Struthio camelus: one gene and its partners. The main gene of each other region encodes a partner of the protein of the gene in region 3 in a complex. Links are inferred from orthologs where the notes say so. Each region holds a gene or a part of one and is shown on either strand. Other genes may lie near its edges. The genes, in order: BRIP1, PHF8 and TOPBP1.

Region 1 (7,697 bases), on a different chromosome or scaffold from region 3:
AAACAGAAAATTCTTATAAATTTTTAAGCATCATTTTGGATGGGACTTTGTTTGGTCCCGTTACACATTATGGATGCGATCTTCATCATCTATTTTATTTACATTATAAACTTTGTGTCTCTGTGTACTATGCCGTCTGAACAAGCTGTCATCACTCTGCTTAGCATTATTGGCCACTGCTGTTTTGATTGCCTAATGCCATTTTGCCAATAAGCCTGTATGTATAATGATGGACAAAGACCTGCATACATTCCTCAAACCAAAAGTTTAAAGGTTGAAAAGCAACAATAATTCATTATAATATATTTCAGCAACAACAACTGGGCACATGGACACTGAGAAAGCTTACCATACAAAGACTGCTGCCATGATAATGCAGAACAAAGTAATGCCAAACTTTTACCGCTTCCTGTAGGGCTCTCCAGCAAACAGTGTTGCCTGTTATTCAATCCCTTAACAATCTTTAAGGAGAAGAATGAAAACAAAATCATAAATAACTGTGAAAGCAAAAAGAATGTTTTAACTAAGCTAAAGGTAACTTTTAAAAATAGTCCAGGGCACCTGCAGTTATGTTCAAAAAAATAAAAAAAAAATTAAAAAAAACAACCCTCTGAGCAGTGCTCAGAGGTTCGCTTACAGGGTACTATGAAATACTTACCTGCTAATAGCAATATCTGATGGGGCTGACTTTCTTTCTGTAGTCTTATAGAACCAAAATATTTAAAATATCTATCGCAGAACAAGAATATTTGTCTCTCAAAGAAGAAAATATTTAAATTTCCCAAATTAAATATAAAACGTACATATTAAATATGCAATATGAAACATCATATAAAAACCCTCCTCTGAAAAAAATTACTAGAATATTACACTCTGATTAAAAGACATGGTTTAGTAGAACATTCCCTCCTTGTACTTGCAAAATCATACACAATTTATATTACAGCTAATTAAATAAGCATTTATATTACACAGCACATAGCTTGGTTCTTAGCATAAAAGTTCAGCCTACAAAGCCAAAATGTATTTCAACATTCCAAAACATTATTACTATCTTATAATCCAAATACCATAGATTCCTAGTCACGGGTCACATGTCATTGTATAGCACAAACACGTACAAACAGAGAACAAAGAAACACAGTAATACAGTAAGTTGCATTACAATTGAAATACTGAAAATAGTGGAGACTGAATTGTATATGCTCTTTTTCTAAAGGTTGATAAGAATTGCAAAACATAACCTATTACTTTAGCGAATATTAACATAAATTCTACTTACTGCATTCATCATAGCTAGTTGTGATGGGTAAGCCTTGCAAGGGAATATAATCTTCACTCCCCCAATAGTATATTCTGACACGTCAGAAGACATTGCCACTTTTCACCCTGTTTATTTCAGATTTATAACTGCAATTGAAATAAAAACAAGTATTAACCAGCTAAAATTAGCAACCACGGGAAAGTCTGAAACAACATGCAGCACCAAACAGAAACGAGCAGAAACTGCTAACCTGATAAGAGGGCTAAGTGGCTCAGGATATTAAGAAAACTCGCATACAGAAACTTATACTACATGACAGCAGTTCAAGCCTGGTCCTTGTCACAAACAAGAGCAAGTTACCACCATCTGATAATTAACATTAGCAATGTAAGCAATTTAGAAATAACTATGAATGAACTACTTACATCATTTCAATTTTATTTCACAGGTTTTACTTCCCCCCAAATTCTTAGGGGAAAAAGTATTCTAGGATATTTAGTAACTATAAATAATCAGTTTTTCAATTCTGCGGCTCCATTAACTTGACCTCCAAGACGCTGCAAGTTACAGTGATACAGCCAACAGCTGTAGCTTCTGAATATGCCTTTTCATTTTGTAACAGTGAGAAATTAAGATTGGATACTGACTTTAAAAATAAGATTTTAAAACACCTTTCTTATAGTACTAATATAGTAATTATTCAGGGGAAAATGAGCTGTCATTCATTTTACTATTCTACTTATCTTCTTGCACTTCTCTCATTTTGGGTAATAAAAACCGTACTGTTTCAGCAAGCCACACTATCCAGCTGAGCATCCAGCTGAACAAACCTTACACCCAGTCCTATCTTCCATATCATTCTAAAACATTGAAACTATTGAGGTACAAATATCGAGTAGGGATATACAGCTTTAAAAAAGACTACAGCTTTTAAGCATCACTAACTTTTCTTATCGGTCTTAAGCATCTACAAAATAACTAAAAGTGAATTTATGCTGGCAACCTCCCTGTGATAAATAAATTCACTAACCTGTGTGCTCATCTGACTCTTTAATGAGTAAATGCATGCATGAAAAAGCCACCAACACAAGGCATGATTCAGCTTCATCATCAGCTTCCTCAACAGGAAAAAGAAACCCTAGCCAAAAGAGATTGCTAGCCTGAGTTTGCAGCCATGCCCTCCTTCCAAAAACGTAACTGCACCTCACTGAAAGGCTTTTCCTCACACGCAGAGGGGTTCTCTCAAACGTTTTTTTGAGGGGAGTGCGAAGGATCTTTGCCTAAGAAAAAGCAAGCCCCTACGAGGGAGGCGGGAGGGGATCAAAACCGGAGTGCGGCAGCAGCCGGAGACGGGGGCCGGGAGGGAGGGAGGGGGGGCGAAGTGGAGGGACCCTCGGGCCGGGGGCGGCTCCCCAGGGAACCCCCAGGCCCAGCGCGGGTTTCTGCGGGGCTCGCGGCGGAGAGCGCTGGGGCCGGCTGCTGTCCTCCTCCCGCGCCTTCCACTTTCCACCCCGGCCTACAAAAGGCACCTGGGCGCTTCTTTTCTCTGCCGGGAGACGGAGAAAAGGCAGGAGCCTCCGGAGAGCCCCTTCCCCGCGGCGAGCCGGGTCCCTCAGAGCCGCGCTCCGCCCCGGGCGCGGCCCCGCGAGAAGCGACGAGCCGCTCACCTCACGCGGCGGCAGCGGCCCTCTTCAGCGTCCGTCCTTCCCGCCTCCGCCCCGGCCGCTGTCCTTCCCGCCAATCAGCTGACAGGAAAGGCTCCGAGCCGCCAATCAGCAGGCCGCGAACTCAACCGCTCCCGCCTTCCCCCTCCGCGCTGTTAGAACCAATCGCGGAGCGCCTTGTTAGCTCCTAGGTTGTCTTCGTTGCTGGGCGACCGCGCGGCGGTGGTGCTGATGGCGGCGGCTCGGGCCCCTCAGGGCCTCCGGTAGGTTCCTTTCAGCAACTATCGTCATCTGGGGGAGAGTTTGGGTTTTTGGGGGCGGGGGTTTGTGTGTATTGTGTGGGTTTTTTGTTTTTTGGTTTTTTTTAGCGGGAGGCGGAAGCTCTGGGCCCGGCTCCCCGGTAGCGCTCGCGTGATAATCAGGATACACTGTAGGACGCGCTGGTTCTTCACGCCCTCTTCCTTAGGGCTGAAAAAATAGACTTTTTTTTTTTTAATTTACCTTTAGGACAGCTACTGCAAATACTGTACAGGAACCTAAAATGCTAATGAAAATTGTTTTTAGTAAAGTCTGTCACGTCTAAGTACTTACATGCATTTAAAACTACTCTTTCTTGGCAATTCAAAAGTCTCAGGATCAACGTTAAGATCTGCAAGTCACCAGCGCTGCTGGGTTGTTTTGGTCTTGGGAGGGTTTTTTTTGCTAAGGCCCTAAGGGATGGTTCCCTCTACTTAACCTAGGTATCAAACTGGAATATTTAAATCGATATAGGCAAATCTTCTTGAAATTAAAAGTACAAATATCTACAAATTGATCCAAAACATACACTTGTTTTTACTTAAATACCACTACAGCATATAAAATCACAAGCATAAGAGGAAAAAATACATACATGTAAATTATTTACATCTTTTACATCAAAATGACAAAAAATATACTTGGTAGTCAGATGGTGTTGTCACCTGGTTACAGCAGGCTTTACATCAGCACGTTGGTAACTCTGGAAAGTGTACCGTATCTTTGTTTGGCAATTCAATATTAGCTTTTCTGAATCGCATTCCAACACATCAAGACATTCAGAAGGCCAGACTAAACATTCAGACCATGATTTCTGGAATATAAACTGGTTTTAATTGAAAAATATCTTAGTTAACCTGGACTCTAAATACTGTCATTTTCAAAACAGCAAATGCTGCATTGACAAGTTTAGCAGTTACAGTTCGTTGAAGAACTGCATTCAATTCTAGCACAACAGCCAAACCTTAATTTTATCTCTGTCTGCAAAAGCATTTGCTGCCTATCATGAGAGCTTGTGCAACTTTGAAGAAACTTCCAGATATTGCACCATACACACCCTTCTGTGATGCCACAAAACATCTTTCAAGGCTAAATCGTGTGGGTTTTCCTATATGAGAGGACAATCAACTGCTTTCAGAGACAGTTCTGTATGCATTAAGCACAAAAGGATTCAGCCTTCTTGTCCACCAAGCTGCAAGTTTCTAGGATGTAACCACTTTGGTATGGCTAAAACCTGTCATTCCAGTCATTAGAGTGAAATTCAGCTTCTGTCACAGTAACCTCCAACACTGATTTTTTTTTTTTTTTTAAATCTTAACCTAATGACAATTCAGATATCTTTGTGCTTTTCTTCCTTAGGTCTTTCTCCTCTCTTTTAAACAAAGTGATGTTTAAAAAAGAGACACCTAAGCAGCATTAAAAATATATATTATTTAAAAATCATGCTTATACACCTCATTTTGTACTACTTTTTTTTAGAAACTTCTAGACCAGTTTCAAACTGTTAATGAAGGCTGACAGATGTTTAAATGAACTCATTTTAAAGTGACTGATCTCATGAACTCACACTGGCCAATGGTTTGAAAAGCCAATCCAAAAAAATGTAAAGCCTCTTCTCTAGGTCTCAGTGCAATGGTACGACATGCCTACACCACACTTTCCAGTCTTCTGTGAAGATTTTTTTATTCCATCTTGTTCTGCAAGCCTCTGGAACACTAGTTCATTTGAACTTAAGCAAAGTTCTCCAACCTCAAGCTTTTCTTACCCATTGTTTTGCTGTTTGCTCAACAAACTAAGCGTTCGCTTTTCAAAAAGTGTTATAAAACCACGTACAGGTGTGTTGCTCAGTTCATGAAGTGATGCAGCAAGCCTAAAAATCATGCCCACTTCCACTGGATGGGGAATTGTTTACCAGCCCCAGCAGCCTCAGAACTTTTCACTGGAAGCAGCGTAAGCCTCTTTAAAGAATTATTTTCTTTGGACAAGGTTCAGCCATAACTGAATCTGATGAATGAAAGACATGGACTTGTGCTCCAGTTTCTCAATCCACTTGGCAGTTCTCGCCGTATTTAGACACCGTAGACTGTGATACGAGCTATGGTACAATTTCATTTCTGTACTTCCTAAACTCCACTTACACTCATGTTAATTATTTCAATGATAGTACTTTCAACACACTGGCATAACTGAACATCAGGGTCCGTGCTTGCTATGTCCCTTGAACAACTTTTATAAGATGAATCTTTACAAAGTCCTGACACTTCATTTGGTTTCTCCTTTAGTTGCTGGAGACCTAGAAAATTAAATAAGGAGGGGGGGGGGGAGTACAAATAAATACAGCAAAGATAATTGTTATACTACACCCTTAATGCAAATATGCATATTGGGAAATAGTACATTTGAACCATCACTATTTCATACAGCGAGTATTTCTAGGGACACTAAAAACATCTTTCATTTCACCTACATCTGACTTCATTGTTTTTATTTATATTCTGTCTGACTTCTTTTAACATAAATATCCTAGCACAGATAATATTAGCAAGTCTTGTATCACAGGAACGGAACATTTGTTTTTAGACAGAAAAAAGACAGAATGTTTCGCTCAAGTTGAACGAATAGACTTAAACAGTTAAGTCCTCTTCATACAATCACTATATGTTTATCCATCCATACTGTGAGACTTCAGCTAACTCATTTCACTTTGCACTTCCAGTAGACTAGGAAGATTTCCCTAATCAGCTCTTATGCCATAGCTGAAGCATGGAAGTGTCTTTGTGTTCTCAAAAGCCAATGGTCTTTGCTCATGCCTTTCCTCCTAAGGCTACGATGGCAAATTCCATGCACAACCCTGGCACGCAGGGTTAAATCTTGCAATAATACGCACAGGGAAACAAAACAGAAGGAAGGAAGTTCATAAAAGCTTAACAAAGGAATGTCTTCAGCCTCTTTAGCCTCTAACTTCTTTCCTCCTCTCCAATAAATCCACCTTTACCCCTTCTATATTTACAAGGTAACGGTAGTACATTTTATTTTGCATTCAAACTGCACTGAAACATCTGAAACATTAAACATCATTTTCTCCCTGGGACCATGATATTATTTTTGAAATACAAGATGCCTTACTTACGTGTAATAATTGGGTCAAAGTCTCTTGTCTGCGTGGCAACATCAGAGGCACAGACTTGCCCTACTTGTATCAGCAGAGACATAATATCCTCATACAAAGGCGGAAAGGCTTGACAGAAGGAAACCAAACAAGGCAAGGTTGGCATAAAAAAGGCATAACGCTTCGACTGGGTTAGAACTGTCAAGGAAAGAGAAAAGAGTCCGTTAAAAAAGGAACTATTATCAAAATCCAATCAATAATTTTTGTTATGTTTTCAAGTACAATTATCACACTGGCATTTCGGTAAAATTGTATTCAGTCTAGACAAAATAAATTTAACTTCTGCAACAGTGTGCTTAGGCGTTGCTGGAATGCTTACCTGTGAGTAGGGTTCCCATGACATTGATAGCTAAACGAGCCACGCTGAGAGATTTAGGTAGTGCGTACTGGATACACAAAAATGAAAGTAACTGGATTGCAAATATCTGTTAAGTAGGTGAAAGGCAAAAAAGAAACAGGCAATAAATTTAGAGATTGCTTTGCACCTTCAATCCAAAGTTCTTCACATAACTTAATAATTAGTAACTATTTTGATTTTACCAATGAGGAAATGAAAGCCACAGAAGCCTTATAGTAGTTACTGTGAAATGTTTCTGCTGACATCAAGAAAAAAAAAAAGCTCACAGATTTAACATTAATGCAAGGACCAGAGTTAGTGTTTCAGAACCTCCCCCACAGACACAGTTTGTTCTGATACTGTTGGTGAGAAACAAAGCAACACACAATTCACAACATAATCCCCGTAAAAGTTGTTTCGTGTTCCATATGTTCTGTTTTTAACTTCAGTTGAGCGCCTTCTTATCAGCAGTAACTTAATATTTGAGAAGGGATTAAATACAAGTAATTAAGAAGTTAGTTTGATACAAAAACAGTTTTGGGGAGTTGTTTTATTCTCTTACAAGAATCTTTAGCCCAATAAATTTCAGTTACCTGGAAACAGCCAAATATGTAATCTCCCCTTGTTACAACATACCAATTCAAGGCCCATGAATTGCCTTAAGGAGTAATAATTATCAATCATTTGCCATTGTTTTTCCATAATCATCACAAGGCCTTCAAAAATACAGGCAAAACATTTCTAAAGCAAACTCCTGATTCCTCCTTTGCTGAGCTCATACTGAGAAGAAACCACCACACTTTGGATTCATAAAGAATAAACTTGAGGAAAACGGCACATTTCATTCTGATAGGCTTTGTGAAGGTATTCCTGCACTTAGGGAAAGAACTGGTAAGATAGCTGGCAAAGAAGAAATTTAAATTCTTTTATGAATTTACACCTTATAGTCTTGCCCCAAGCTTGTGT
Region 2 (7,485 bases), on a different chromosome or scaffold from region 3:
TGGCCCTGATGAAGACGGATAAAGGACCTGGGGGGATCTGGAGAAGATCGGAGAGAACCCAGAGGATGTCGCGGGATCGTACCAGTGGGGATGAAGAGGGTCTGGCCCTGACGCAGGGGGCAGCGGTAGCACCGATCCACCTGGTCGCCGAAGAACATCTCGCTCTGGTTGCTGGAGCTGCTCCAGGCCTCGAAGAGGGCCAGGTTGGCCGGGGTGGGCCGGGCCAGGTAGAAAACCTTTTCGCCCTGCGGGACGCGAGAGGCGGCGTCGGCAGGAGCGCGCGGCCGTCCCGTAGACCCCAGGAGCCTCCGACACCCCCCGCCCCGGGGCGCACCCGCAGCACGTGGTACCACACGGAGGTGCCGCCGAAGTCGATGTGGAAGTCGGTGTAGCTGTCGCGGGCGCCCATGAGGCAGTACTTCTGCACGCTGGGCCGCTCGAACACCGACTCGCCCGGCCACAGGTTCTCCACCCACGAGAGCTTGCGCACGATGCGCGGCGTCTCCACCAGGTTGGACAGCCTGCGGGCCGCGAGGGCGTCAGGGCCGGGGGACCCCGTGCCGCGGCGGGTTGGACGCGACGCGGGGCCGGGGCGCCGTACCGGGTGTCGGAGAACTCGAGGCTGATGACGTTGAGGACGCGGTCGCGCCGGGCGCCGCAGAAGTAGGCCACGAAGTCGCCCAGCCGCATGCGGCAGTCGGCCTGGCGCGCCACGTCGATCACGTCGATCTCCTTGTCCGGGCCTGGCGCGGGCAGGGTGGACGGCTGGGGGGCAGACACGCGCCCCCACGCCGGCCCCCCAACCTGCCCCAGACCCCTCCCAGCCTGCCCCACGGGCCCCATACGTACCCTAGGCACCCCCTGCCTGCCCCAGAGACGTCCCTGTGTACCCCCAGGCTGCCCCATGGGCCCCATAGATGCCCTATGCACCCTCTGGCTGCCCCATGGGCCCCATACGGGCCCTAGGCACCCCCAACCTGTCCCAGAGATACCTCTATGCACCCCTAGTCTGCCCCAGAAATACCCCTATGCACCCCTAGTCTGCCTCACAGGCCCCATAGACACCCTGGGCACCCCCTGTCTGCCCCATAGATGCCCCTACACACTTCCAGCCTGCCCCACGGGCCCCATACACAACCTATACACCTCCTGCCTGCCCCACAGACGTCCCTCTGTACCCCCAGGCTGCCCCACAGGCCCCATACGCACCCCCAAGCTGCCCCAAAGACATCCCTCTGTACCCCCAGGCTGCCCCACGGGCCCCATAGACACCCTATGCACCCCCAGGCTGCCCCACAGGCCCCATACACACTCTATGCGCCCTCTGCCTGCCCCATACACACCCTATGCACCCCCAGACTGCCCCATACGCACCCTACACACCCCCAAGCTGCCCCAAAAACATCCTTCTGTACCCCCAGGCTGCCCCACGGGCCCCATAGACACCCTATGCACCCTCTGCCTGCCCCATACACACCCTACGCACCCCCAGGCTGCCCCACGGGCCCCACAGACACCCTAAGCACCCCCTGCCTACCCCACAGATGCTCCTATACACCCCTAGCCCGCCCCACGGGCCCCACAGACGCCCCTACGCGCCCCTGGGCTGCCCCACACGCGACATAGGCGCCGCTACGGGCTCCCACGCGCCCTGAGCCTGCCCCGCAGCCCCACCGCCGCCGCCGGCCGGGCTCCTCACCCACGTAGTGCTCGATGTCGCGGGCGGTGAAGGTGGGGGGCGGCAGGGTCATGCCCAGCCCCTCCTTGCGCAGCACCAGGATGGGGACGCTGAAGCTGTTCTCCTCCAGGTACTCCACCGTCAGCTGGGCCCCGCTGGGCTTCAGCAGCACCTCGTCGGCGCTGGAACGGCCCCCGTAACGCCCGGCTCCGCGCCCTACGCCCCCCCCCCCAACCCCGGGGCGAGGGGAGCGACGCCGACGGCGCCCGCGCGCGGCCGGTTCGGACGTCCCGGCGAAGCCGCGCTTCGCTCGGGGCGGGGGGCTCGGCGCCCACCGCCCCGAGCGCCCCGTCAAGCGGGTATAAAACCAAAACCGCCCCGACGCCGGGGCAGAGCGGCCCCGTCACCCCTCTCACCTGGGGAAAGTCCGGCCTCGCAGCTCCCGGACGAACTGGGCGCTGCCGGTGCGGACGGCGCGGCCGGGCTCGGCGTCCGGCTGCTTGGCGAGGCCGCGGCGCCGCTTCACTGCGGAGTCGGGGAGGGGGGAGATGCCGGCGTTGAGGAGACGCCGCGAACCGCGTGTCCCCCCCCCCCAAAAAACCACACCGTCCCGAGCGGATACTCACTGACGGAGGGGCCGTGCAGCTCCTGGCACTTGGGGCAGTGGTAGAGGTCGATCTCGGCCGCCGCCTCCTCCTCCACTCCCACGCAGCTGTAGGCGCGCGTGTATAGGGGACGGCTCGGCCCCCGCCGCCTCCCCGACCCCGGCCCCCCCCCCCGGCCCCGCCGGCCCCCACCTGCCGTGGAACCAGTCCTGGCACACGTCGCACTCGATCATGAAGCGGGTCACGTCGTAGGGCAGCCGGCACAGGCAGTACACGGGCACCGAGGCCATGGCGCCCACCCGCCCCTCCCCCCCGCTATAGGTGCCCCCCTCCCGCTATAGGCACCCCCTCCCCCGCTATAGGCGCCCTCCTCCCCGGCGGGACCCCCTCTCCCCGCCCCAGGGCATCAGCCCTGCGGCGTCGTATAGGGGCAGCCCCCCCTACCCCCCCCTCCGTGCTGGGGGGGCACCAGCGGGGCTTCCCCTATAGAAAAGGGCTGCTCGTAGCCCCTATAGATCTCTCCTGCTTTTTGCTATGGGGGGGGGGGGAACTTTACGGGATGGTTTCGGCTCCTCTCCGCGCGGACCCGGCCTCACCGCCGCTCCCTTTGCCCTATAGACCCCCCCCTCCCCCTATGGGGAATTCAGCTCCCTATAGGGCCCCCCCCTTCTATAACGGCTCTACCTCCCCCTTAACCTCCCTATAACACCCCTCTATAGGGTCTCCCCGGGTCAACGCGGCCCTGCCCCCCTCCACCCACCTCTATAGCCCCCCCCAGCTCTATAGGCCACCTCTGGCCCTATAGGCCCCCCCCGCCGGCTCTATAGGGCCCCGGGACGCCCCACTCCGGGTCTATATGGGCCCGGGACCCCTCCCCCCGGGCCTATAGGCCCCCCCCGGACGCTCCCCTCGGCTCTATAGGGCCTCGACCCCCCCCGCCGAGGTCCGCGACCCCCTTAAAGGCCCCCCAGGCCCCGACGCCGGTGCCGCCGCCGCCGCCGCCGCTGCTGCTCGGCTCCGGCCTCCCAATAAAGTTTATTCAAACGCGGAACGGGAAGGAGGGGGCGGGGCCGCGCCGCCATGTTGAGGTCACCGGAAGGTGGCGGAGGCGGGGGCGGAGCCGAGCGTCCCGGCCGCGCCGCCATCATGGGGAGGTCGCGCAAGCGCAGCGCCCACGCAGGCAGCGGCCGCCATGCTGGGAGTGGCGGGACACGCTCGCGCTCTCTCTCTCTCTCTCTCTCTCTCTCTCGCTCTCGCTCTCTCTCTCTCTCTCTTCCCCCCCCCAACACACCCGGCATGTCCCGCGGCGGCTGCCGTCCAGACGGCCGCCATCTTGGGAGTGGCGCGGACGCCGCGCCGCGGCCATATTGGAAGTGACGCACCGCCTCACAAACACCCGCTTCTCCACGTGGGTTTTTATTATTTTCCCTTTTTTTGGTGTTTTTTTTTGCCGTTTTTACTCCTTTGTAACAATCCGTCCAAAAAAAAAAATAAACGCGGGGCCGCGCCAGCCCCCGCCCCCGGAGCAGACCCGAAACCTCGCTGGCCTTTTGGGGGGGGGGAGACCATGGAGGGGGGGAAGGGACTGAAATGAGGTAGATGGACCAAAACCCCACGTTTACGCCCCAAATCGCGTGGGGAGGGGGAAGGGGGGGCGCAACTGGGAGTTTTGGGACGAAACAAGGGGGTTTGGGGGCCAAAGAGAGGCAACCGCGGCGCTGGGGGGAGGCCCACGCACCGTTGTCGGGTGAACGAGGGCCTTTTGGGGGGAAACGGGGCGGTTTGGGGGCATTTTGGGGTGGAACGGCGGGTTTCGGGGCAGAACGAGGACGTTCGTGAGGTGACCGAGGGGTTTCAGCTCCACTGGGGTGGTTTGGAAACCGAATGAGGCGGTTTGGGATGTGGGGGGGGGGAACCGGCAGTTTTGGGGGAAAATGAGGTGTTTTGGGGCAAAACCGGGCCACTTTGGGGTCGGACGAGCGGGGCTGAACCGAGGCCGTTAGGGGCAACCAAGAGGAAAACGGGGCGGGGGAAACGTGGGCGTTTGGGTCAAACAAGGGGGTTTCGGGGTGAAACGAGGCAGTTTGGGGCAAAACGGGGGGGCCTTGGGCACATGGGGAGGTTTCGGGGTGAAACGTGGTTTTAGGATGAAACAGGCTTTAGGGTGAAACGAGGCAGTTTTGGCTCAGCTGAGGCAGCTCGGGGTCAACCGAGGCAGTTTTGGGGTGAAAGGGGGAGGTTTGGGGGTGAAACGAGGTGGTTCTGGGGTGGAACAGGTTTTTGGGGTGAAATGAGGGGTTTTGGGGATGAAATGGGGCGGTTTTGGGGTGAGACTGGGCAGTTCCAGGGTGAAATGGGGCAGTTCTGGGCTGAAATGAGGTGGTTTGGGGGTGAAACAGGGCATTTTGGGGGTGAAACGAGGCTGCTTTGGGGTGAAACGAGGCTGCTTTGGGAGTGAAACAGGGCAGTTTTGGGGTGAAACAGGGCAGTTCTGGGGTGAAAGGGAGTGGTTTGGGGTGAAACAAGGCAGTTTGGGGGTGAAACGGGGTTGTTTTGGGGTGAAACAGGGCAGTTCTGGGGCGAAAGGGGGTGGTTTTGGGGTGAAACAGGGCAGTTTTGGGGTAAAACAAGGCAGTTCGAGGGTGAAAGGGGGCAGTTTAGGGGTGAAAGAGGCTGGTTCTGGGGTGAAAGGGGGCAGTTTTGGGGTGAAATTGGGCGGTTTGGGGGGGAAACAGGGCAGTTTGGGGTTGAAACGAGGCTGTTCTGGGGTGAAAGGGGGCAGTTTAGGGGTGAAACAGGCTGGTTTTGGGGTGAAAAGGGGCAGTTTTGGGGTGAAATGAGGTGGTTTAGGGGTGAAACGGGGCGGTTCTGGGGTGAAACAGGCTGGTTCGGGGGTGAAATGGGGCGGTTTTGGCGTGAAAGGGGGTGGTCTATGGGTGAAACGGGGCGGTTCGGGGGCGAGACGAGGCGGTTCTAGCACGAACCGGGCAGCTCCTGGCTCGGCGGAGACGGCGCGGGGGCCGGCGGCGGCGGCTGTCCGGGGGCGACGGCGTCCGGCATCGTCGTCTCCCTCACTTGGGCGCCGGCGGGACGGGGCAGCGCAGGGCCGGACCCGGGGGGCCGGGCGGAGGCGTCGGGACCCACCGGGGCGGGTAGGGGCCGCAGCGGGGCAGCCGGACGCCGCGGAGGGTGGACGCCCACGAGGACGAGCCCTGCGGCGCCGGCGGAAAGAGAGACACAGACAAGAGACGGGACGGGGAGGGAAGAGGATCGGGGCGTGGAAGGGGGAAGGAGGTGGCAACTCAAAGCAGGGCCCCCCGGAGCGGACCCAGGCGTCCGGGAGCCCCCCTCACCTCGACGGTCCTGGCCCGGGCGTCGGGCTCCGGGCGACCCCGGTTCTGCCGGAGCTGGTTGAGGCTGGGCTTGAGGCCCGGCGCGCCGGCCGTCTCTCGCGCCCACTCGTCCACCAGCCGGTGGAAGTCGTCCGTGAAGAGGCCTTTCTTGGCGGCCGGCGGCGGCCGGCAGGGATCTGCGGGACGCGGGCGCCGTTAAGCTGCCGGCGAGGGGCCCAGGCGTCCTGGGGCCGCGGGGTTTTTGGGAGGGGGGAGGCGCACGTCCTCCGGTACCTGGCGGAGCCGGACCCTGGGAGCCGCTGGGGGGCTGCGAGTCGCTGGCGGCGGAGCAGGAGGAGCGGGGGGCCGGCGGGCCGCCGCGCTCTGGGGACGCGGCGGGGATTCGCTGGTGGCTGCTACGGGGCTGAGCCAGACCCCCGAACCGCCCCCCCCCCCCCGAAAACCCAGGCGTCCCCGTCCCCCCTCCCCGGAGCGGTCCGAGCCCCCCGCGGCGGGCCCAGGCGTCCCCCCTCCCCGGAGCGGTCCGAGCCCCCCGCGGCGGGCCCAGGCATCCCCCCTCCCCGGAGCGGTCCGAGCCTCCCGCGGCGGGCCCAGGCGTCCGGGCGCGTGCTCACCTGCGAGCGCGGGGCCGGCGTCGGGGCCGGGGGCCGGCGGGCGCCCCCGGGCTTTGCCTTTGAGGGCCCGGGGCCGGCGGGGGGAGGCGGGGGGCGGCCCCGGCTCGCCGGGCTCCCCCCGGGCGTCCTTGAGGGCCCGCAGGCGGGCGTAGAGCTCCTGCAGTTCCCGGTCCTGCTGCGCCCGCAGCGTCACCACCTCCTGGATGTGCCTGGCGAGGACGGGGGGGACGCGACGGGGCCGTCACTCGGGGGCCGAGGAGGGTGGCCCCGGACGCCTGGGCCCCTTGCCCGGCCTTCTCCTTACTTCTCCCGCAGCTGCTGCAGCTCGGCCTTGAGGTCCTCGTCCTCGAGCTCGGAGTCGCCGTCGCTGCTCATGGGCGACGAGGGCGAGTGGGCGCCGGAGCCCGGGCGGCGCGGTCCGTCCCGGGGGGCGGCCGAGGCCTCGCTGTCCGAACCCGATCCCCCCGGCGGGCTGCCCGGTGCTGCCTGGGCGCCGGGGGGCTCCTCCGCCCCCCGCGCCGGCACCGCCACCACCTGCGGCGGGGGAGAGAGATGGGAGACGATGCGCTCAGCGGCGGGGAGCCGGACGCCGGGGCCCCTTCGCTGGGGGGAAGGAGCAGCGAGGCAGGCTGGGGGTTCAGGGACGGCTCTTTGGGGGGGTCTCTGGGAGAGGTTGGGGGTCCCTGGGGCATTTTGGGGGTCCCTGAGGTGGCACCCATTCCCCTCTAGGTGGCCCTGGGGCATTTTGGGGGACCCCTAGGCAGCTCCCATCATCTCTGGGGGGTCCTTGGGCATTTTGGGGATCCCTGGGGTGGCTCCTGTCATCTCTGGGGGGTCCCTGGGGCAGCTCCCATCATCTCTGGGGGTCCCTGGGGCATTCTGGGGATCCCTGGGGTGGCTCCTGTCATCTCTGGGGGTTCCTGGGCAGCTCCCATCATCTCTGGGGGGTCCCTGGGGCAGCTCCCAGCCCCTCTGGGGGTCCCTGGGGCATTTTGGGGGACACCTGGGCAGCTCCCAGCCCCTCTGGGGGTCCCTGGGGCATTTTAGGGGACCCCTGGGCAGCTCCCGTCCCCTCTGGGGGGTCTCTGGGGCAGCTCCCGTCCCCTCTGGGGGGTCCCTGGGGCATTTTGGGAGACCCTTGGGCAGCTCCCAGCCCCTCTGGGGGGGACCCAGGGGCTCCCCACAGCAGCCGGGGGGTCCCCTCAAGAGGACGGCGCCCCGCTCCCGCCAACGCC
Region 3 (7,130 bases):
ACTACCAACTTCTCCAGCTATAAGGTGAGTTACTGACACATTGAGGTCTCTGTACACACGTCCACCCATCATCTGCACATATTTATGAACTTCTTCCTGGGTGGGAAAAGAAACTATAGAAAATCTTCAAGCAAAAAGAACCTACATCATATGCAGGCTCACCTTAAAAAACAAACAAACAGAACCCCGTCAATTTCAAATCTCTATGGTTTCTCCTAAAAATCTGTTTGGAAATCCAAAAAATCAATATTTCGGGAAGCCATTAAAAATACCAGACATTAACTCCATTTTATTCTTGATAAGCTGAATATAAAAGATACCCTTAATAAAGAGGCTACAACCATATTATATCAGTGAAAATGTACTGATGGTTGGCATTTTAGGTAGTATAAATTAGAAATAGATGTTGGAATAAATAAAAAGGAAACTTTTACAATGAAGGACGTGAATTAAACTACTTGAGATAAACCACGGCTGACTAGATATTAAATCTTTACCGTGTAGTTTGAGTAACCAGAAATAGAGTACTTTGTCTGCAGCATGACAGCCACAGACAAACTAGCAAGCTAAGTGATCCACCTAAAGATGAAGTCAGCTAATAGAATCCCTAAAACATACAATTAATCCTACAGTAGCAAGACTAATGTCTTACAATTTTATATGCATTCTTATGTAACATAAATGTACATATACACACTACAAAGACATGTATACATACCATATATATAGTAAGCCTATATACAAAAATTTACACACCATCTACAGAGCCTATATATAAAAACAGGCAGACTTTTACGTTATATAGTAAGACTATTGGCTTAGCAATAAGCCATCTGAAGCAAATGTCACAGAAAAATTAGCTGAACAACCATTATGGGCCATTACCCTAACATCTTTTTCAAGGCTGGTACAGGATACTGTTACATCGGCCATGGTCATGTTATACACAGGATATTCAGCTCTTGGGACGCATCGCTGGGACTGCATACAATATAGGACTGCCTGTGGTCCAACAATTCTACAACCGAGCTGCGGTAAAATCAAAGAAAAAACAAAGATTAGCAGAAAGACACACCGGTATAAACAAAGCTTTCCTTGTCCCAGAACACTGGGGAAGGAGAGGTCATTGTCTGCCCTCCTTTAGCAGCTCCAAGTAGTTGAACATTTTTTTTCATTTTCTGATGCAGATTCTCAGTACCATCCTCTCACGTTTTCTGGCCTTGGTTAAGGCAGTGGATGCTACAGCTGACATGCCACAGAATTCTCGCGAGCCTAGCTTTGTCTGCTGGCATTATTTCTTGGAGGTCAAACAAAATTACATTACTGGGGGAAGCAAAAAAACGCGAGAGCCAGCTCACTGACTACAGCAGAATCAGAACTGATCACTGTATTTATTTTTCCATTTGCTTCAAGATGATTGTTACGCTTTGTCAGCCCTCCTCTTCCCTAAATACAAATGCATTGGAATTTTTACTATGGACTACTATATTCAGTAAAGAAAGAGAAAACATGCAGAGTATAATTATCGACATGAGCATTCCTACAAAAGACAGAGTATTCCTACAAAAGAGAGTATAGTTAAAAGTAAATTGATGAGTAGCAGACCTTTTTGAGATGACTGAAAACAACGCCTCTAAAAGGATCGCAAATGTAAAGGGATTTATCATTTTCGTTTATACTGAGCGCTGCTTCTTCTTCAAGGATCTGCAGATGTTCTTCTGACTGAAATTCTTTTATGGACTGCAGGAAAACAGTGCACACAATTACACTTATTTAATTCACAAATCACAAACAGTTAAACCTGTGGAAACTACAAAAGCTTGTCTACTTAAAAGAGCTTACAACAAAACTATATAAGAGCATATTAGTAGAAAAGAAGGCTAAAGATATCTCCTGTTTTTTTTTCCCCAATTCTTCACAATATTCAGAACTATATGTTCAGCACACAAACCTTCAGGACCTCATCCTGCCAGACAGTGCCTTTAACTCCCACTAACCTCCAGGAGGAGGAGAAAAATGAACTGTCCTTACTAAATCTTCAGTAGTCTGGATGAGTGACCACCATTTGGATTTGCCAAGCTTCCAGTTTACTTCATTAAACGTTAAGAGGTTTTCAGAGGAGGCTAAAACCGTTTATTCACTCCTCCCTCCCCTTACTCCCTCCTCCCCTCCAAGAGAAATAGTACTTCCCATGGTACTATTTGCTGTACTGGACAGTTGCTCTTTGCAGAGCTGATCTCCAAATTTTAGGCTCCTCAGTACCTTTAGCAAGACATTAGGCCCACAGAATCCCTCTTCTGTGAGAATCTACAAGATGTAGAAGAGTTTTCTGAATGGAACTATCACATTACAAGTAATAAATAAACACAATGAAAAAGAATTGCTTCTTGATCTAGGAATAATCATGCAAAACAAACTTTAATAACAACACTGAGCATCTCTATCACTGAAATGTGTTATCTACAGATGCGTACAAACGCACTACATCCCGAGACAACCACAGAAGACGCTTACATAGAAAATAAATACGGCAACCTCACTGAGAAAGGTCATCAAACCCACCTACCTCAAGAGCTTTAAAAAAAAACTCCGAGTTTCCAGAAGACTTTATGAACTTCACAAAGAACGGCTCCTTACTACCTTTCATCCTTTAACTGGAAAGCAAAACCACACAGGTTTCATGACTCTGCCACCTTCGTCCGGAGAGACACCTAACGCCTGCAGCCAGCAGCCGCCAACACCTTCCCCACCCCCGCCGCAGGAGCTGCGCAAACCGCCTCGGCCCGGCCCCGCACCGCGGCCCGGCCCCGCACCGCCCAGCCTCGGCAGCGCCACCAACCTCCGCAGGGGGCAGCCCCTTCCCCACAGAGCCTCCCCTCCCCCGCCTCACGCAGGCCACTGGCACTACCGCCGCCCCAAGCGCTCCCCGAAGGCCGGCTCGCTCGGCGCTGCCGCCCCGCCGTTGCGGGCCGCCGCCGCCGCCCGTCACCCACCCCGGGCCGCCTGCGCGGCTGGCGGGAAGCGCCGAGCCCCGCACCGCGCAGGCGCAACATGGAGCCCGGGCGGGGCGGCGGGGGGGTGGAGGCGCACGCGCCGCCGGAGGGGAGGAGCGGCGGCGGCCGTTGCGCGGCGTCACGTGCCCACGCGGGCCGGCCGTTGGTGGTGTTGCCGGACGGGCGCGGGTGTGGGCTGTGTCGCCGCCGCCGCCCTGTGGCGGCTGAGGGGAGGGGGCCGGCTGCCTCGCGCGCCCCGCGCCGTGGCGGCCCCGCCGCCCCCACTGGCGCCGCGGAGGGGCAGCGCCCCCGCTGGCCCTTGGGGTTGCTGAGGCGCTGCCCGGCTCCCGCTGCCTGGCCTCTGTGGAGGGCCGCAGCCTCGGCCTCTGCCGGCCCCGCAGCCTGGTTGTTTATCCGTGCTGTCTAGCCAAGGAGCGCTCTGCGCTGCTGTCCCCTCTGGTTCACGCCAGGGACAGCTGGAGGAGGCCTCTTCCCGCTGCTCGGGGAACGGTTACTGCCATAAGAGGTGGTAGCAAAGGCGGCTTCCCTAGCCCTAGCCTGGCCCATGCCTGGCATCTGCCCTCCAGAGAGGGTCAGGCCGTCACTCTGTTCGCTCTGAAAAGCCTTAGGGTGCTGGTGCTGCCACCTTGTGCTTGAGAGCGGCGGGGGAAGTACGGCAGCTGCCAGGAGGGCTGAGAAAGGTTGGAAGCGTGCTCATCCCAGTGCCATCTAAGTTGTGCTTCCGGGGGAAAGAGCGTAGAGAGGGTGTTCTGTTTCGTTCCTGTGACTTCCAAGCTATGCATAGGAATTTGAGGTGCACGCCTTCTGGAGCAGAGGACAGCATGAGCATGTGGAAAACTTGTTCAGAAGCTAATCGAGCTTCACTCCTCCCGTATCGTTCTGTATTGTTCTCCCGTATCTTTCAACTGCCTGAATCATCAGAAGCTGGCAATGCCCACTTCTCCGGCAGGCCGCTAGTCCTAGGTGCTCTGAGTGTTTTCTAAGGCTTGCTGCTGTCTGTGTAATATTCATGCTGCCTGTAGTGGAGGAAGTCATTTCGATAGAAGAGCATCTTGAGAAGAAAAAAGTTTTGGGAGAGGAAGAACACCAAAACCACTGATGAAAGCGAGTCTTTTAAGTGGCAGTATGAAACCTTACAGTGTGGCCACATGATGGCACCGTAATGTTAAAAACTGAAGGGACTCTGAGTAAGCGTGTGTGCAAGTCTAATTGTTGGAGGTTATCTCTTCAGTGCCTTGGGATAGATACTAAACATCTTTAAAACTCTTTCCTATGCTTATGTATTTTAAAACACTTAGTATTCATCCTCTTAGGGTCAGAGTGAGTTATGGGCTAAACCTCTTCCGTGTGTAAAAATAAACAAAAACAAGTGTAGTATCAACCAAAATAGGCTATTTAATAGACAACTAGTGACAAGCAGTTAAGCACAGGGATCATGTCTTGATGGTCATGTGTTATCTGATGATGTTGGTTCTTTGTCCAGTTGTTAAACTCTCATTTTTTTCTGCCTGCTTTTTCAGCATTATAGCAACCTGCTATAAAGAGGAATTTCTTCTTTCTTTTTTAATTCTATTGGGCTATCAAAAAGAAGAGGGCAGAGGGGAAGAGAGAGGATCAAGAAATCTAACACACAAAAGTCAACCAACTTTAATGGATTGTATAATACAAAATATTATTACAGTCTGTTGGCAGAGTCCTTAATTCAATGTACCAGCAGTGTTACTGAGCACTTATTTGATATGTCCCCTCGAAGCATGGTTCCCTGCTTACTACAGTGAGCAGCTTGTTCTCGCTTGCTGAAGCATGGTCCCTTCTCAGTGAAGTGAAGTAATAGAAACTCTTGAGAGCTGCTCGTTCACCGCTGATCCACTGGACCACAAAACTCTCAAAGTTCCAACTTTGCCTCTTGGAAGTTGCTTGTCACTTGGAAAGATTCTTGCTATAGGAGATAATACTGCAAAGGATCAGGGCTCTTCTTTGATACACCTCTCAAAAAAGCATGCCCCTCTCCTCTTCCGTGTTTGATTGTCCTTTTCTTCTGCAGGGATGGTTATGTACTGTGTATGGCACTGAAACCTAGAAAATAATTTCTTAAAGGCAGTGTGCCTTGGGGTCCAAATGAATGATTTTGTCGAGAACAGAATAAATCACAAAAAGATTTTCATAAATGTGATCTAGAAGAAAAAAAAAAGCCAGCCTGACAAAAGTTACTGCATGTAGCTTCCTATCCCTTTAAAAATGAAATGCATATATTTTGCATTTTATGCTGAAATTACCTGATTTCTACTTATAGTGATATAGTTACCTGTTTTAAAAGCATATACAAAGTCCAGAAGGTGACTGATGCAACAATGCCTTAAAAAAGGATGTGCATCTCTAACGACTGTGAATTAGAAGACATAGTATAATTTTCTTATACTTCCCATGTGGATGTAGTCCAAAAGTGGTGCTTAATACGATAGAATAACTTGAAACAAGTGGTCTGATGAGCAAAGATTTCCCTATTGCACTTCCTGTTTTCACAAGCACTTAGCAGTGTAAGATTTCTTTGGGGCTGTTGGAAACATTTGCTTATTTGGAAATATTATCTAAAAGGATATTTAGAGGAGCTGGGAAACAGAAATAACCCTACCAGATAAGAACAGCAATCAGAACATTGTTTTTTTATATTTCTATTTCCAGAGTTGGCCAAAACCAAGTGTCTTAGGGGAAATGTAACAAACACTAGGAAGGACAGTTTGGCATGAATCAAGTAATCGTGCAGATAAGGTATGACCTTAAGCACGTTAGTATCCCCATTCTTCAATTTTTCTGTGTGTTCAAGTGCTCTGCAGGATCTGACCTTTAGCAAAAGCCCAGTCATAGATGGCCGTCAATCTTACTAATTAAGAAAGCTTTTATTATCTTTAAAACTACCAAATGGCATAAAAATGGTCGTATCATTTTTGGTAGCCCCCAAATGATACCTACTTGTAAAACCAGGAAGTGCCCCTTGACTTTGTGGATCAGTGAATTCTTTCACTTGTTCCTATGTTTTGATAACTTAAAAATTCATGGCATATGCTTATCTCTGTAAACATCTGGGTCAACCCTATTTAGAAAACGTTTCCACACCTCTAATGCTGTTGTGTTTTTGCAGCCACTACCACTGCATTAATTTCATATTTTAAGTTTTTCCCTATAACTATGCTGGTTAGCAAAATGGCAAAAAAATCACTGCACTGAAAAAAACAAAACCCTATTGACTGATAGTACACATTTGATCTACCCTAGTTAAAGCTCCATGTGTAATACTGTAATGTTTAAATGTTGCAAACACATTGCTTTGCTGATCAACGTTAGTCCATTGTATATTTGATTAGCTTTTCAATATGAGTAACATATAAAACAGCAATTGATTGAGAGAGCCTCCTGAAATACCCAAACTCTTGAGTAACTTAGGTATTGACATCGAATAGTTAAGACTAACATGAGAAAAGACCCAAAATATTGGTACTTGACTGTACACAATGAAACAATACCTTGAAATATTAGAAGCTCTTTTAAATATATAACATTTTCCCTTATCCCTTCTAAAGATTCTATATCACAGACCTCCATAATTTAGCGTTATCTGCACAAGTACACAATTAGGCTGGTAAAGCGTGGAGCTGACACTGAGTTTAAATGAGTGAGATATCTTGTGTAAGGTCCAGTCAAGAGATGTTTCCAAAGAACCAGTATCGATTTCTAACCTCCTTTTGAATTAATTCAAAAATTCTGTGTATGAGCCTGCTAGCTTAGTGTACAGAGAAAGCCTCCAGTCTTTGGGAGTTTTAGGTCCTTCAGGATAAAGCTATGCTTTTACTTTCACAAAAAAAGAGAATACTTCTTTCCTTGCAGAATCCTACATTTGCATATCCAGCTAGCTAATTTGATCCATCCTTTTCATTTATGTACAAATACCCATATGAATGAACAAGTACAAGGTTTGGTAGGCGTATGTGCCGTGTTCTTCTGTGGCCACCTTAGAGACAATATCCAGACAACAGCTTTCGAGGCTTCTTTCACAGAACTGATTTCACAAAAGTTAATTCCACTTTTTCACTAGACACAGTTTACAATGCAGCAGAAACT

Evidence for each region.
Region 1: the proteins of TOPBP1 (region 3) and BRIP1 are in contact, whole or in part, in a crystal structure (PDB 3AL3), measured with the Homo sapiens proteins. The link is inferred for Struthio camelus from reciprocal best matches to the Homo sapiens genes TOPBP1 and BRIP1. Residues at the interface, in NP_008958.2 of Homo sapiens: Leu1272, Ser1273, Ser1274, Leu1275, Asn1276, Pro1277, Arg1280, Gln1298, His1311, Leu1313, Arg1314, Asn1315, Glu1316, Lys1317, Leu1319, Gln1366, Arg1407, Gly1410, Phe1411, Leu1414, Thr1466, Glu1467, Ile1469, Ala1470; in NP_114432.2 of Homo sapiens: Ser1129, Tyr1131, Phe1132, Thr1133, Pro1134, Glu1135, Leu1136, Tyr1137, Asp1138.
Region 2: the proteins of TOPBP1 (region 3) and PHF8 are in contact, whole or in part, in a crystal structure (PDB 7CMZ), measured with the Homo sapiens proteins. The link is inferred for Struthio camelus from reciprocal best matches to the Homo sapiens genes TOPBP1 and PHF8. Residues at the interface, in NP_008958.2 of Homo sapiens: Gln1298, Cys1299, Arg1314, Asn1315, Glu1316, Leu1319, Arg1369, Ser1406, Arg1407, Gly1410, Phe1411, Arg1413, Leu1414, Arg1465, Thr1466, Glu1467, Ala1470, Asp1471, Gln1475, Asn1483, Tyr1484; in NP_001171825.1 of Homo sapiens: Gly842, Ala843, Cys844, Phe845, Asp847, Ala848, Tyr850, Ile851, Tyr852, Pro853, Ser854, Leu855, Glu856.

Annotation. Positions count from the first base shown.
Region 1 is NC_090957.1:18,851,706-18,859,402, reverse strand, and holds the start of BRIP1 (Fanconi anemia group J protein), read right to left. Parts: upstream 3,024-7,697; 5' UTR 2,932-3,023; exon of another isoform or gene 2,794-2,931; intron 2,403-2,793; 5' UTR 2,295-2,402; intron 1,411-2,294; 5' UTR 1,376-1,410; coding exon 1,283-1,375; intron 462-1,282; coding exon 350-461; intron 1-349. Other genes in the region: INTS2 (integrator complex subunit 2), read right to left, coding at 5,349-5,518, 6,356-6,532, 6,714-6,819. UniProt on the Homo sapiens protein: DNA-dependent ATPase and 5'-3' DNA helicase required for the maintenance of chromosomal stability. Acts late in the Fanconi anemia pathway, after FANCD2 ubiquitination.
Region 2 is NC_090979.1:567,372-574,856, forward strand, and holds the start of PHF8 (histone lysine demethylase PHF8), read right to left. Parts: upstream 3,024-7,485; 5' UTR 2,574-3,023; coding exon 2,476-2,573; intron 2,391-2,475; coding exon 2,305-2,390; intron 2,204-2,304; coding exon 2,095-2,203; intron 1,861-2,094; coding exon 1,700-1,860; intron 744-1,699; coding exon 602-743; intron 522-601; coding exon 335-521; intron 246-334; coding exon 83-245; intron 1-82. Other genes in the region: serine/threonine-protein kinase WNK3, read right to left, coding at 5,355-5,495, 5,637-5,812, 5,910-5,999, 6,251-6,459, 6,555-6,784. UniProt on the Homo sapiens protein: Histone lysine demethylase with selectivity for the di- and monomethyl states that plays a key role cell cycle progression, rDNA transcription and brain development.
Region 3 is NC_090943.1:50,368,588-50,375,717, forward strand, and holds the start of TOPBP1 (DNA topoisomerase 2-binding protein 1), read right to left. Parts: upstream 3,067-7,130; 5' UTR 2,994-3,066; exon of another isoform or gene 2,840-2,993; intron 2,655-2,839; 5' UTR 2,648-2,654; coding exon 2,567-2,647; intron 1,741-2,566; coding exon 1,606-1,740; intron 1,030-1,605; coding exon 886-1,029; intron 97-885; coding exon 1-96. Other genes in the region: C-C chemokine receptor type 5, read right to left, coding at 7,112-7,130. UniProt on the Homo sapiens protein: Scaffold protein that acts as a key protein-protein adapter in DNA replication and DNA repair. Composed of multiple BRCT domains, which specifically recognize and bind phosphorylated proteins, bringing proteins together into functional combinations.